Nothobranchius furzeri: one gene and its partner. The protein of the gene in region 1 interacts with the protein of each later gene in a pairwise test. Links are inferred from orthologs where the notes say so. Each region holds a gene or a part of one and is shown on either strand. Other genes may lie near its edges.

Region 1 (4,760 bases):
GTTATGGAGAGGTTTTATTAAGAAAACATTAGACGTCGCATAGACTTCTGTGTATTTCCCTGTTTCTGAGACTGAAATGGGCTAAGAGGTGCAGATGAGTGGCTGGTCCCTGCTTTCCGCTCGACTCGGTCCAATTTCTGACAGCCTGTCATGTGCAATCAGTGTGGGATTACTCACACACCAAAGGCTGAAGCTAAATAGTTGTCTGTCTGCGTGCTGAGACAGCAAAACGACCAGGAACCACCCCCCCACCCCAGCTCTGATCCTCAGGGTGTGCGTGCACCAGATGAAAAGGTAGAAACCAGACAGAGTTTGACTCCAGTGTTTGGAAAACTTGAATAATTAACCTGCTGTTGAGGACGCTGTTCTTCAAACCAGTTAAAATGGTCACCAGTTCCTCAGTGGAAGTAAACAAAGCCTGAATATTTCCCTTCAAACAGTCGTGATCCTTCCCGGTTGAGCGACTTCCCTCTGAATGTGTTTGGATTCTTGAGCAGTGCTGGGTTCCTTACATCCCCAGCAGCAGACCCAGTCCTGTCCAGTGGTGCTCTGAAACCGCCCGGCGACAGAACCCTCGTCAGATATTCCTCCTTATTTTAGCTCCATCATTTCATTTAAGAAGAAATACAGATGAACTGGAAATGAAATCTATCATCTGCAAAGACTTCTCCTCCATTCCTGCAGATAACTAGGTTTAGTGTGCATGAATCCTGAGCGTTACTCTTTGATCCATTTGCCAAACTTTGATCTGATTAGTTATCCAGAATGAAAGAAACCGAAGGATAAAAGTGGAGACGGACGAAGCTCTGAGGCAGCTGAAGGACGAAGTGTCTGCCTGTAAGTCCACGCTGAAGACTGACGTCAGGTTTTTACAACAACTTTGCTTCTGCATGGAAGCCTCTGGTCTCTCGCCACTGACACGTCTGATGTGTGGTCTGCAGCTGCCTCCGGTTTGGGCTTTGACCACCTCCTGTCTCCAGTGTTCAGCCCAGTGGACCCAGAGAGCTCGGTGGAAGACTGCCTCGCTGCAGTTGGAGACAAAGTGGCCATCGAGCTTGGCACACACCTGGCCACAGCTGCCCAAGCACTCCTCAGCGGGTGAGCTCATGTTTGAGGGAGTGTTTCACATTAAACATTTTATAACCATTTATACCTGAAAAAGCTCAAGTTTTTGTCCTCTGCTAAGATTTTCTCACTGCACCAACAGAAAATACAAAGTTCACAATCTCACGGGAACGACCGAGTCCGTGCTGGTTAACGGCTGCTTTGGGAATTCATGAGACGTTCTACCGGAAGAGAATAAATGGAATTCAGTGTGAAAGTCGGGCCAAGTGTTTAGATTTGGTCTAGTTTACAAACATACAGCTCCACTCCCGTGTTGATGCTTGTTCTTTCTGTTGGAACAACCCAGACTTGCATTAAGAAGTTAGGATGTGTGCATCTCTGGAGATGATTAAACCCAATATGAGTAGTTTCTATTCTAACTTAGCGTTGTTTGGAGTGAGTGTTGATTTCTGCTAACGTTTATGTGTTTTAGACCTCTGGACTACCCACGTTTCAGAAGCACGACCCTGGATCTGTCATTGCACACACAAGGAGGCTGGAACAAGGTGAGTCAGTCGCATCTTCTAAGCTGCTGTGCTTAAAACCGTTATTCCAGATAGAAACCTGCTTCATGGCTCACCACCTGCAGGTTCTGGTGCCTCTGGTGTTGCTCCAGGCTCTGCACAGGGAGGGTCAATCTCTGGAAACACTGTTGGAAGTGGGGCTGCACTTCCTGGAGGAGGAGGAAGCTGATTGCATCATCCAGCAAGGAGGATGGGTGAGTTTTGCAACTCAAGCGATTTGACATGAGTGAGGAATAACCATCATGGAAGGAGAAGCTCCTGGGTCTGGGTGGATTCAGACTCCACTACCAAGAGTCTGGGACGATGAAAGAAGGATCCAGATTATTACACTGATGGAAAAGCGAGAATGTAGATTTCCAAATGACCAGATGAGGGCGTCAGTGACTGATTTGATCATTTATATCGAGTTAAACCCGTTGATTACAACGATCACGGCCTGAATTTAAATCTTTGTTTTTAAATTAGAATAATGCAGTTTACCGAGCTTGTAAGAGACTTCTGGAGGTGAACAGTCAGATGTCAGGGAGAGTATTCAGAGTTGTGACGGGGTGATTTTTTAACGTTTCATGTCAGGATCAGAACACCGCTTCAGCTCGGCAGGCTGTAAGAAGTGGAACTCTTCCTGTAATGAGGTCATCCTGAGGAGGAGCCGCGGGACGTGACACGCCAACCGTTTTGTTTGTCGCCGTTAACCTCACGATGTTCTGCCTGGTTCCACGCATCGAACACAGAACACTGGCTTCAAACAAAGCCACGCTTTTGCTCAGTTATGTCATAGGAGATGAGGAGGGATGGGGGGGCATGATGAGAGTTGCGATAGGCAGGATGGGAAGCCAAGCAGGGGAGGGGTGAGAGATCAGCAGCCAGTGAGAGCACGGTTAGATGTTTATCACTGTGACATCTGCCTGCATGGACTCTCTCCACCTCCACCTCATCGCCACCACTCGCTCGCCTTTTGGACTTCTGAGGGATTTTCGCATCCGAGTGTAAACCGGAGCTTTGGCGACTTCGCACCAAGGTAGGAGGTTTTTCTTTGGAGCCACTCAAACGATGACCCCATTAGTCGTGATGGGACAAATTGTCAGAAGCTGAACTGGTGTTTGCTTACTGGCAGCATGGCTGCCACTTCCTACGGAGTCAGAGGCAGCCATCTCAGTCGTCTGAGGAAAGTTATTACCATGCTATAAAGGCTAAAACTGTGCATTTTGAATCGTAATTTTGGCACAAATCAGATGTTTCGTGGTTTAAATGTTTATTCTGTTAATCTTACAGATTCTAGCGTGACAGAGGCACATGACACACGTAACGTTACGGTTGAGTGGCTCTGATAATTCCTTTGTTGGTTTCGGCAGAAGATTGTGACCCTAATGTGGTGTTCGGTCCATTTGGCACGAACAAAGGTGCCTGGCCTCAGGCGGGTAGGAGGTGTGATGAGGTCTTCCTGACACATCAGACGTCGTCCTTCTGACGGGCTGAAAACTGCTGCTGCGCTCTGATGAGTGCTGACGGCTGCTTCTCACCTCCGAGCAAGGAGAGAGAAATCACCAAACCCCGGCTGCAGTTTTCAGTTTATATTTACACGAGTTTCTCCTCTGAGAAGTCCTGGTGCTGCAGGGACGAAGCTGGTGTGAGGGCTCCAGTCCAGGCAGAGGACGTCCCTCTGCTGACTTACGTAAGCAGTAGGAGACCAGGCCCAAGAGTCCACGACTGCACGCATCTAATAAAAAATACAAATCCGAGCATCCATGTTTCTGCATCTGTTCGTTAGTCTAACTGTTCACTCGATGCTCGGTTAAATGTACCGATGCAGATTTAAAGCTGCAGATAAAAAGGCCACATTTGCATCAGTAAAGTTAACAAGATTTTAGATTGATGTCTATTTTAGGTGATTTCTGATCCACTAGAATGTCTCAGCAGGAAAGATGGAGGAGGACTGATGCTGCGTCTGCGGTGATGAGGGTGTTGTAGCGGTCTGTTGTGGTGAAGAGCTGAGCCGGAGAGCGAGGCTCGATTTACCGGTCCGTCTACGTTCCTACCCTCTCCTACAGTCACGAGCTTTGGTAGTGACCGAAAGGACGAGATTACACACGCAAGCAGCCGAAATGAGTTTTCTTTGCAGGTTGTCTGGGCTCTAGGTAGGGTGAGAGACTCGGTCATCCAGGAGGGGCTCATAGCAAAACTGCTGCTCCTCCACATCGAGGGGAGCCAGTTGAGGTGGCTTGGGCATCTAATTCCATTTTTGGTTCTTTTTTAAACACAGGAAAGGTTTCTCTTCCTTGCTGTGTTTAGGAAGCGACGCCACCACCAGCGTCCGCTCTGAGGAGGTTTGCAGATGCAAACGAGAGTTTTTAACTCAAAACAAAAATGGAATCGTATTTAAGTTACTTCATGCAGATTTTCTGGAGATTTCTTTGTTTCTTTAGACTAATAAGATAAAATGTCTAAAAAATGAGTTGTTTTTTAAACTTTCTGTAGTGTAGCTCTAGATTTTTACAGTGAACAGACGGCTAACGGTCTTGTAGCAAAACGCACACACAGAAGTTTTCTGGTGGAGACCTGACCGCCCTGTTCTGCAGATCGAGGCTGCGTCCGAAGGGGAGAGGATTTTCTCCCTCGTGCAAATCAGCTTATGAAGAACTCAACCCTAACCCTAACCCTAGGATGACGATGGGATGCTGTTAGATTTAATCTTGTCCATTCCACCCGCGCCACAGCTGGTGTGCTGAGGGAAATGACCTTAAATGTTATTCGATATAAACGCAAGACCAATGTCCATAGTCTGCTCACAGGCGCTCTAATGGAGACTTCTGTGGAGGTTTATCAGATGTTTATGCTAACTCCTCAGTTTTACTGCTGAATCCCATTGGTTCATGTGACACGCAGCACAGCTGCGACCTCTTCTAGGTCACCTCGAGCATCAACACCTGCTAACGCCTCGTCACAAATCCTATCTACTCAGGTTACTTCTTTTTTTGTGCAATCTGCTAAATTCGTCTACTCTGTCAGTAGTTTGGTTCAACTGTCTGTAGCTCGTCTTACGGGGAGCGCTGCTCACGTTCTGATATCACATTCATGCTCGTTTCTGTGCCACAGGGTGGAATATTGGTCTTGGTGCCAGAGGAGCAGTGTGGT
Region 2 (5,354 bases), on another chromosome or scaffold:
CTCTAAGGCTGGGATCAACTGACGACACCCGGTCGAACTAGCTACAAGCTAACCGGAAGCTAACCCAAAGCTAATGCGGCGGTGGGAGCTAAGCTAACGGAGGTAGCAACCTAGCTACAACCAGAGTTAACTGTGCACAACCCCAGGGCTTCTGAGTCAGAGATACGCCGGGCTGACCGCTGGGTAAAACTGGGTGGAACACAGAGGTCTCCGAGAGCTCCACAAGCCGGCAGCCCACGCAGCAGACAGAAGCCGCGATCAGACAGAGATGCGCCGAGCTGCAGGGAGGGGAGAACGGGTGGAAAACATCGGTCTCCCGAGAGCTCCACAAGCCTATAGTAGGAATCCAGCTCCACCAACATGTTATATTTCAACCCATTTTCTAAAGTGCAGCATTATGTTAAATGCACTGGCTTTTACCCTATTACATTTAAATTTCATGGTTAAACAGTACATGTTAAAATCTAAGCTCAGCTCGGCAGTGACCTAAAATACATAAATATAATTTAACTTACCGAAAAAAATGAAGTGGAGACTCCTTGGACGCTCTATTAGTGCAATTAATGTCACAGCAAGTCATTTTGTCCAACAATTGCACAAAAAATATCCAAAAAATAATACACACACACAGAGACTCAAAATCTTGGAACAGTTTCTAGGCCAGAACGAGGCTCTACTGAGGCCTTTCCTCTGTGGTCACGTGGGTCTGATGCTTATTAATTATACAGAATTTTAGGCTTTTAATACACTTAAACAGAAGAGTGAGAAAAAAGTCACCCCCCTAAGAGTTGTCATGAGTGTAAACTAGATCATTTAAACAAAAAACATGTTTTGGTAGCAGGCTGTAAACATGTGTATTTCTGCTCTGAAATTGGTATTTTTAACATGGGAGTCAATGAGCATTTGCTCGTTTCTGACACCAGTCCCCAGTGGATGAGGGTGGAACTGCAATTTTTGGTACTTCCGGGTTGGGACCAATTTTTGAGCCGCATTGTGGGGGCTTGGTTTTTACAGAAACAGTGTAAGGTGGAGACATGTTAAACTCTCAGATGATGTCATCAGATTAAAACTGGACTTCTGCTTTAAATATGTCGTCAAAAAATAAACACTTGTAATCGCCTCTTGTGCACGAGAGTGGTGAGCTCTGATGGTGGGTTTCTAGGGCTGATGCTCCATCTGGAGGAGAAAGAGTTTGAGGTGATTTGGTAACTACTAACAACCTAGGAGCTCAGATAGAAGAGGGAATCAGAAGGTTCTGCCAAAGTGCCCCTGAGCAGGACACCAAACGCAGATAGCCCCGGTTTGCTAATTGTAGTATGACTCTGGATGGTGCCCAACCTCCAGGTCAAGGGGTCATGATGGATGAGAATAATCCTTCGTATCAGTTTTACATTCATCTGGATGCAGGTTTTATCTAAATGACAGTAATTTATATTTCATCATGACTGACAGAAGTAAAAACTTTGTTTTTTAATCTAATTCTGACAACTTCAGCTAGACAGTTTGACTCACTAGAGCCTGATGTGGAGCTCAGCGATGAGAATCTGTCCGTTACGGACAACAGGGCCGTAACGTTCATCACCGTCTCTCAGGATGTTCTTTATCTGTGTTTTAATCAGGTTTAAGAGCTAAACTTCCCCGCATGTATCATTCATCAGGCACAAATATGGGATCCTGAAACCACAGCTGGGATGTCCTGCCTCCTCTCCCTCCTCCTCTTCCTCCTCCCCATCCTTATCTTTGCTCCTCTCCTTCTCTCAGAGCGTGTCCAGCCTCAGAGGTCGCTGCATATCTAACATTTCTGCCTCAAGCTCCGACCAGAGCCGCTTTAATCTGCAAGGTAAGCCTCCATCTCCTACATCTTTGTTCCAACCAGCTCCAAACGTGGTTAGCTGAGTAGATCAAAAGGAACCAGAGACATCATCCATCCTGCTCCGGTGGTGAGAGGAGGAGATGCTGAGGAGGAGTGCATGAATCACTGCCTCTAATAAAGTCATTGTTCAGATGGAGTAAACATTTGTGAAGAGGGGAATGGAAACTAAACCTCCCAGAGGGATAAACACTCGCCTGGCGTTCCCATCCAGAGCACATGATCTTCTTTTGGAGAAATCAGCTGATTCTGATCACCGCTGCCATCCTGATGCATGGCTCCAGCGGTTAGATTAGATTACTGACTAATCCTAATTCAGTAGAAGGATGTTCACTGGTGACAAAGGTTTCATGCGAAGCTAAATTGGAGGATTCGTTTCACGGTGAACGCCAGATTTTATCCTGTGATCAAATAACAGAAAGGAGAATTCATGGCAATGAGTTTTTATAGTAAATGTCATAAAGTAATAATCATCAGAAGATGACTTTTAGAGAAGAAGATAGAAGAATCGGACAAACTGAAGGCGTCCTAAAACCGTTTTTAATAAATGTTCAAACTTTTCCAGATTAAGCAGTTATAGTTATAGTCAGATGTTTTATTTACTGAGCTACAGCACCTGTTTTCTGATGTGTGTGTGTGTGTGTGTGTGTGTGTGTGTGTGTGTGTGTGTGTGTGTGTGTGTGTGTGTGTGTGTGTGTGTGTGGCACTGGTCACAATGCCCAAGCACCGGGTCAGCAGCAGCTACGTGTGTTTAACCTACATTTCCTCCCACAGCTGTCCGTCACAAGGCGTGTGTGACTGAAGTCTGACAACAGAGTGAATGTATAAATAGCTCAGTGTGTGTGTGTGTGTGTGTGTGTGTGTGTGTGGCCTGGTATACGACAGCTGCTGCTGCTGACACATACTGATAGAAGTCACACGTTTGGAACGACGGGCATCTGAAAGTCTCCAGGTTAATTCAGAGTTTGGGTTGGTTGTTTCAGTGGAAGTCTGCAGGGAGGAGTTCACGTGGACCAAACAACCCCCCCCCCCCCACACACACACACACATAAGTTATTAATGCTGATTACTAAATTAGACCGACCCCCAAACCCAGTCTCCTGATGTTTAACTAAAGACTCCACTTCTCATCTTCCCAGTGGTGAAAAAGGTATTTACAGCCCCACCCTCTCACTGTAAACCGTGGCGTAGACTAAAAGGTCTCAAAAGCAACACATAACTCGTTTCATAGACCCAGAGCATCAGCTAAAGCCCTGCAGGGTCAGAGGTCATCATTCACAGAAAGAAAGAGAGACAGTGACAAAAATGGCCCAGTGGGAGGGTTCCAAGGGCAAAAGCATGGCGATGGTAGTGTGATGGTGTGGTGCCGCTCCAGGATCTGGACCACCTGCTGTACCCTATGACCGTAGCTTTAACAGCTGCTGGTTAATAACACATGAACCAATCAGGGCCTGCCTCCGATGGAAAGCTGTGCATGTTTGATCCAGATAAATGTGAGAATAACCAACAAGAGAGCAGAGAGGAAAGGTGAAGACAAGGAGAAGGGTAGAACATGTCAGACGGATGAGATTAGCTCCTAAATGCTGCAAAGTAAACAAAAGGTTAAAGGAGAGGCTAGCGGGCCTCAACTAGATGGAAGTTCAACATTTATACCTAAAATATCTTTTATTGTAAATGTCTGAGACTTCTGCCGGCGTCTACCCTAATGGCTTTGTCCAAATTCAGAGGTAGTGTCCTTGTGAGGACTCGTCCTACCCGGTCCACGTAGGACGAGTCCTTCCTCAACTGCCAAGACCAGAAATGAGCGGCTGTGAATTTGGACGATCTAGCCATCATACTCCTGCCTCAGCATGGGTCCTGTTGCCTAGCAACTATTAAACTAATTAGAAGTTAAAGCTAAACCCAGAGTGCTAACACCAGATATAACCATGTAATTACTTATAAACGTAGCATGAAAGACTCATCGAGAATCTTCTGGTGCTGATCCGTAGCTGGAAGCAGCCATGACCCTCGCGGGACGGGTGAGAGAGAATGAATTATGTTTAGAAAAAGAAGCTGCAGTACCCACATTTGACCACAGTGTGTCATGCTTGCTTCATCCTTACATATTGCACCTTTAGAGAAGAATCTGTGCACAACCGGCAGACATACTAACACTGAAACCGTAACCCCGACCCGCTTCATGTGCCATTGTTACAGAACTAAAACCTGTCGTTCAACCCGTGATGAACCCTGGGATGACCGTTGCCACGAGGAAACGCCAGACCTGTCCTTGAGCTCCGGAGAAAACGAGGACACGTTTGAGAAACCTTTGAATCTGGACGGGCTTGTTGCTTCGCTGTGGCGTAATCGGCCTTTAGGTGAGACATGGAAGGCTGCAGCTGCTAAACCATCCCTAGGGCCAGCTCGGTTAGGAGAGATGCTCCCACAGACTCATCTGAGCTCTTAAGGTGGACTGATTGGCTTCGGTCACACATGCCAGGCAGAGGCAGATTAGAGCCGGAAGGACAAAAGAAAGTGAAATAATAAAAATAGACGATCACATGAGCAGCTGTGACCTCTGCTGAGCTCCAGACGTCCAAGACGCTGCTGTGTGAATATCAGAAGGCGTTTCTTTAGCGCCATCTTCTGGACACACTCCAAAAGGACTTTAATTCTCCACACACCAATGGAAAGACGATCTCACAGGTTTTATCTGGAAGCTCATTAACAAGCATTCACACTGATAACTAAAAGGGACACCGCGTCCGCCACCACAGCAGCACCTGGACGGCTGCTTCTGACCTTCTAAATGTAGATCCCACAACAATGGTTGTGATCTTGACATATGTCCAGCTTAGCACATCACCGGGCCTCAACTGGCGCCTCTGAGCAGCTCATCGTCATGTGCCGCGAAGCCAAAAGGTCACATGCCTCCACCTGGAGGCAGGAGACCGAGCAGTGTGTGTTTAACGTTCTAATGTGTTCTCTTTTATCTGAAACTAGAGACGGTGACAGAACCAACTTCTTCCTGCTCAGCTCCAGACCCAACCCACCAGGATATAACCCTCGCTGCCCCGATGGAGCGCGTTCAGCACATGACCAAGTCGGCCATCCGCCGAGCGTCTCAGATCGAGGTGAACCCACAAGCCAAGAGGAACCTGCAGGAGCTGTTCGTCAACTTCACGCTCATCCTCATCTGCCTGCTTCTCATCTACATCATCGTCCTGCTGAGCAGCTGAGAGCCGAGCTCTGCGGCTTGTTTTATGGCTGCTGTGGCAAACGGAGCAGCATGTGTGGGGTTGTGCTTTATTCATGTATCTGTGGGCTTTTAGCTTCTGTACACCGACACAAGCTCTCGCTACCGATTCTGCTAAAAGTCAGAAAAATGCAGCAACTTTCACAGTTTAACCGAGCAGCAGTGATAAAACAATCATCTCACAACGTAAGGCCAGGGGTGGACTGGCCTATCTGGCATTCTGGCACTGTCCCGGTGGGCCGCTTA

The links.
Region 2: the proteins of bcl2l13 (region 1) and pln1 interact in binary tests that used the Homo sapiens proteins (3 or more experiments, as listed by UniProt). The two-hybrid records come from large-scale screens. The link is inferred for Nothobranchius furzeri from reciprocal best matches to the Homo sapiens genes BCL2L13 and PLN.

What each region holds. Positions count from the first base shown.
Region 1 is NC_091744.1:88,160,686-88,165,445, forward strand, and holds part of bcl2l13 (bcl-2-like protein 13), read left to right. Parts: intron 1-756; coding exon 757-837; intron 838-941; coding exon 942-1,098; intron 1,099-1,537; coding exon 1,538-1,610; intron 1,611-1,693; coding exon 1,694-1,822; intron 1,823-4,721; coding exon 4,722-4,760. UniProt on the Homo sapiens protein: May promote the activation of caspase-3 and apoptosis.
Region 2 is NC_091754.1:47,670,195-47,675,548, forward strand, and holds the start of pln1 (phospholamban), read left to right. Parts: upstream 1-1,726; 5' UTR 1,727-1,840; intron 1,841-4,069; 5' UTR 4,070-4,230; intron 4,231-4,855; 5' UTR 4,856-4,929; coding exon 4,930-5,091; 3' UTR 5,092-5,354. UniProt on the Homo sapiens protein: Reversibly inhibits the activity of ATP2A2/SERCA2 in cardiac sarcoplasmic reticulum by decreasing the apparent affinity of the ATPase for Ca(2+).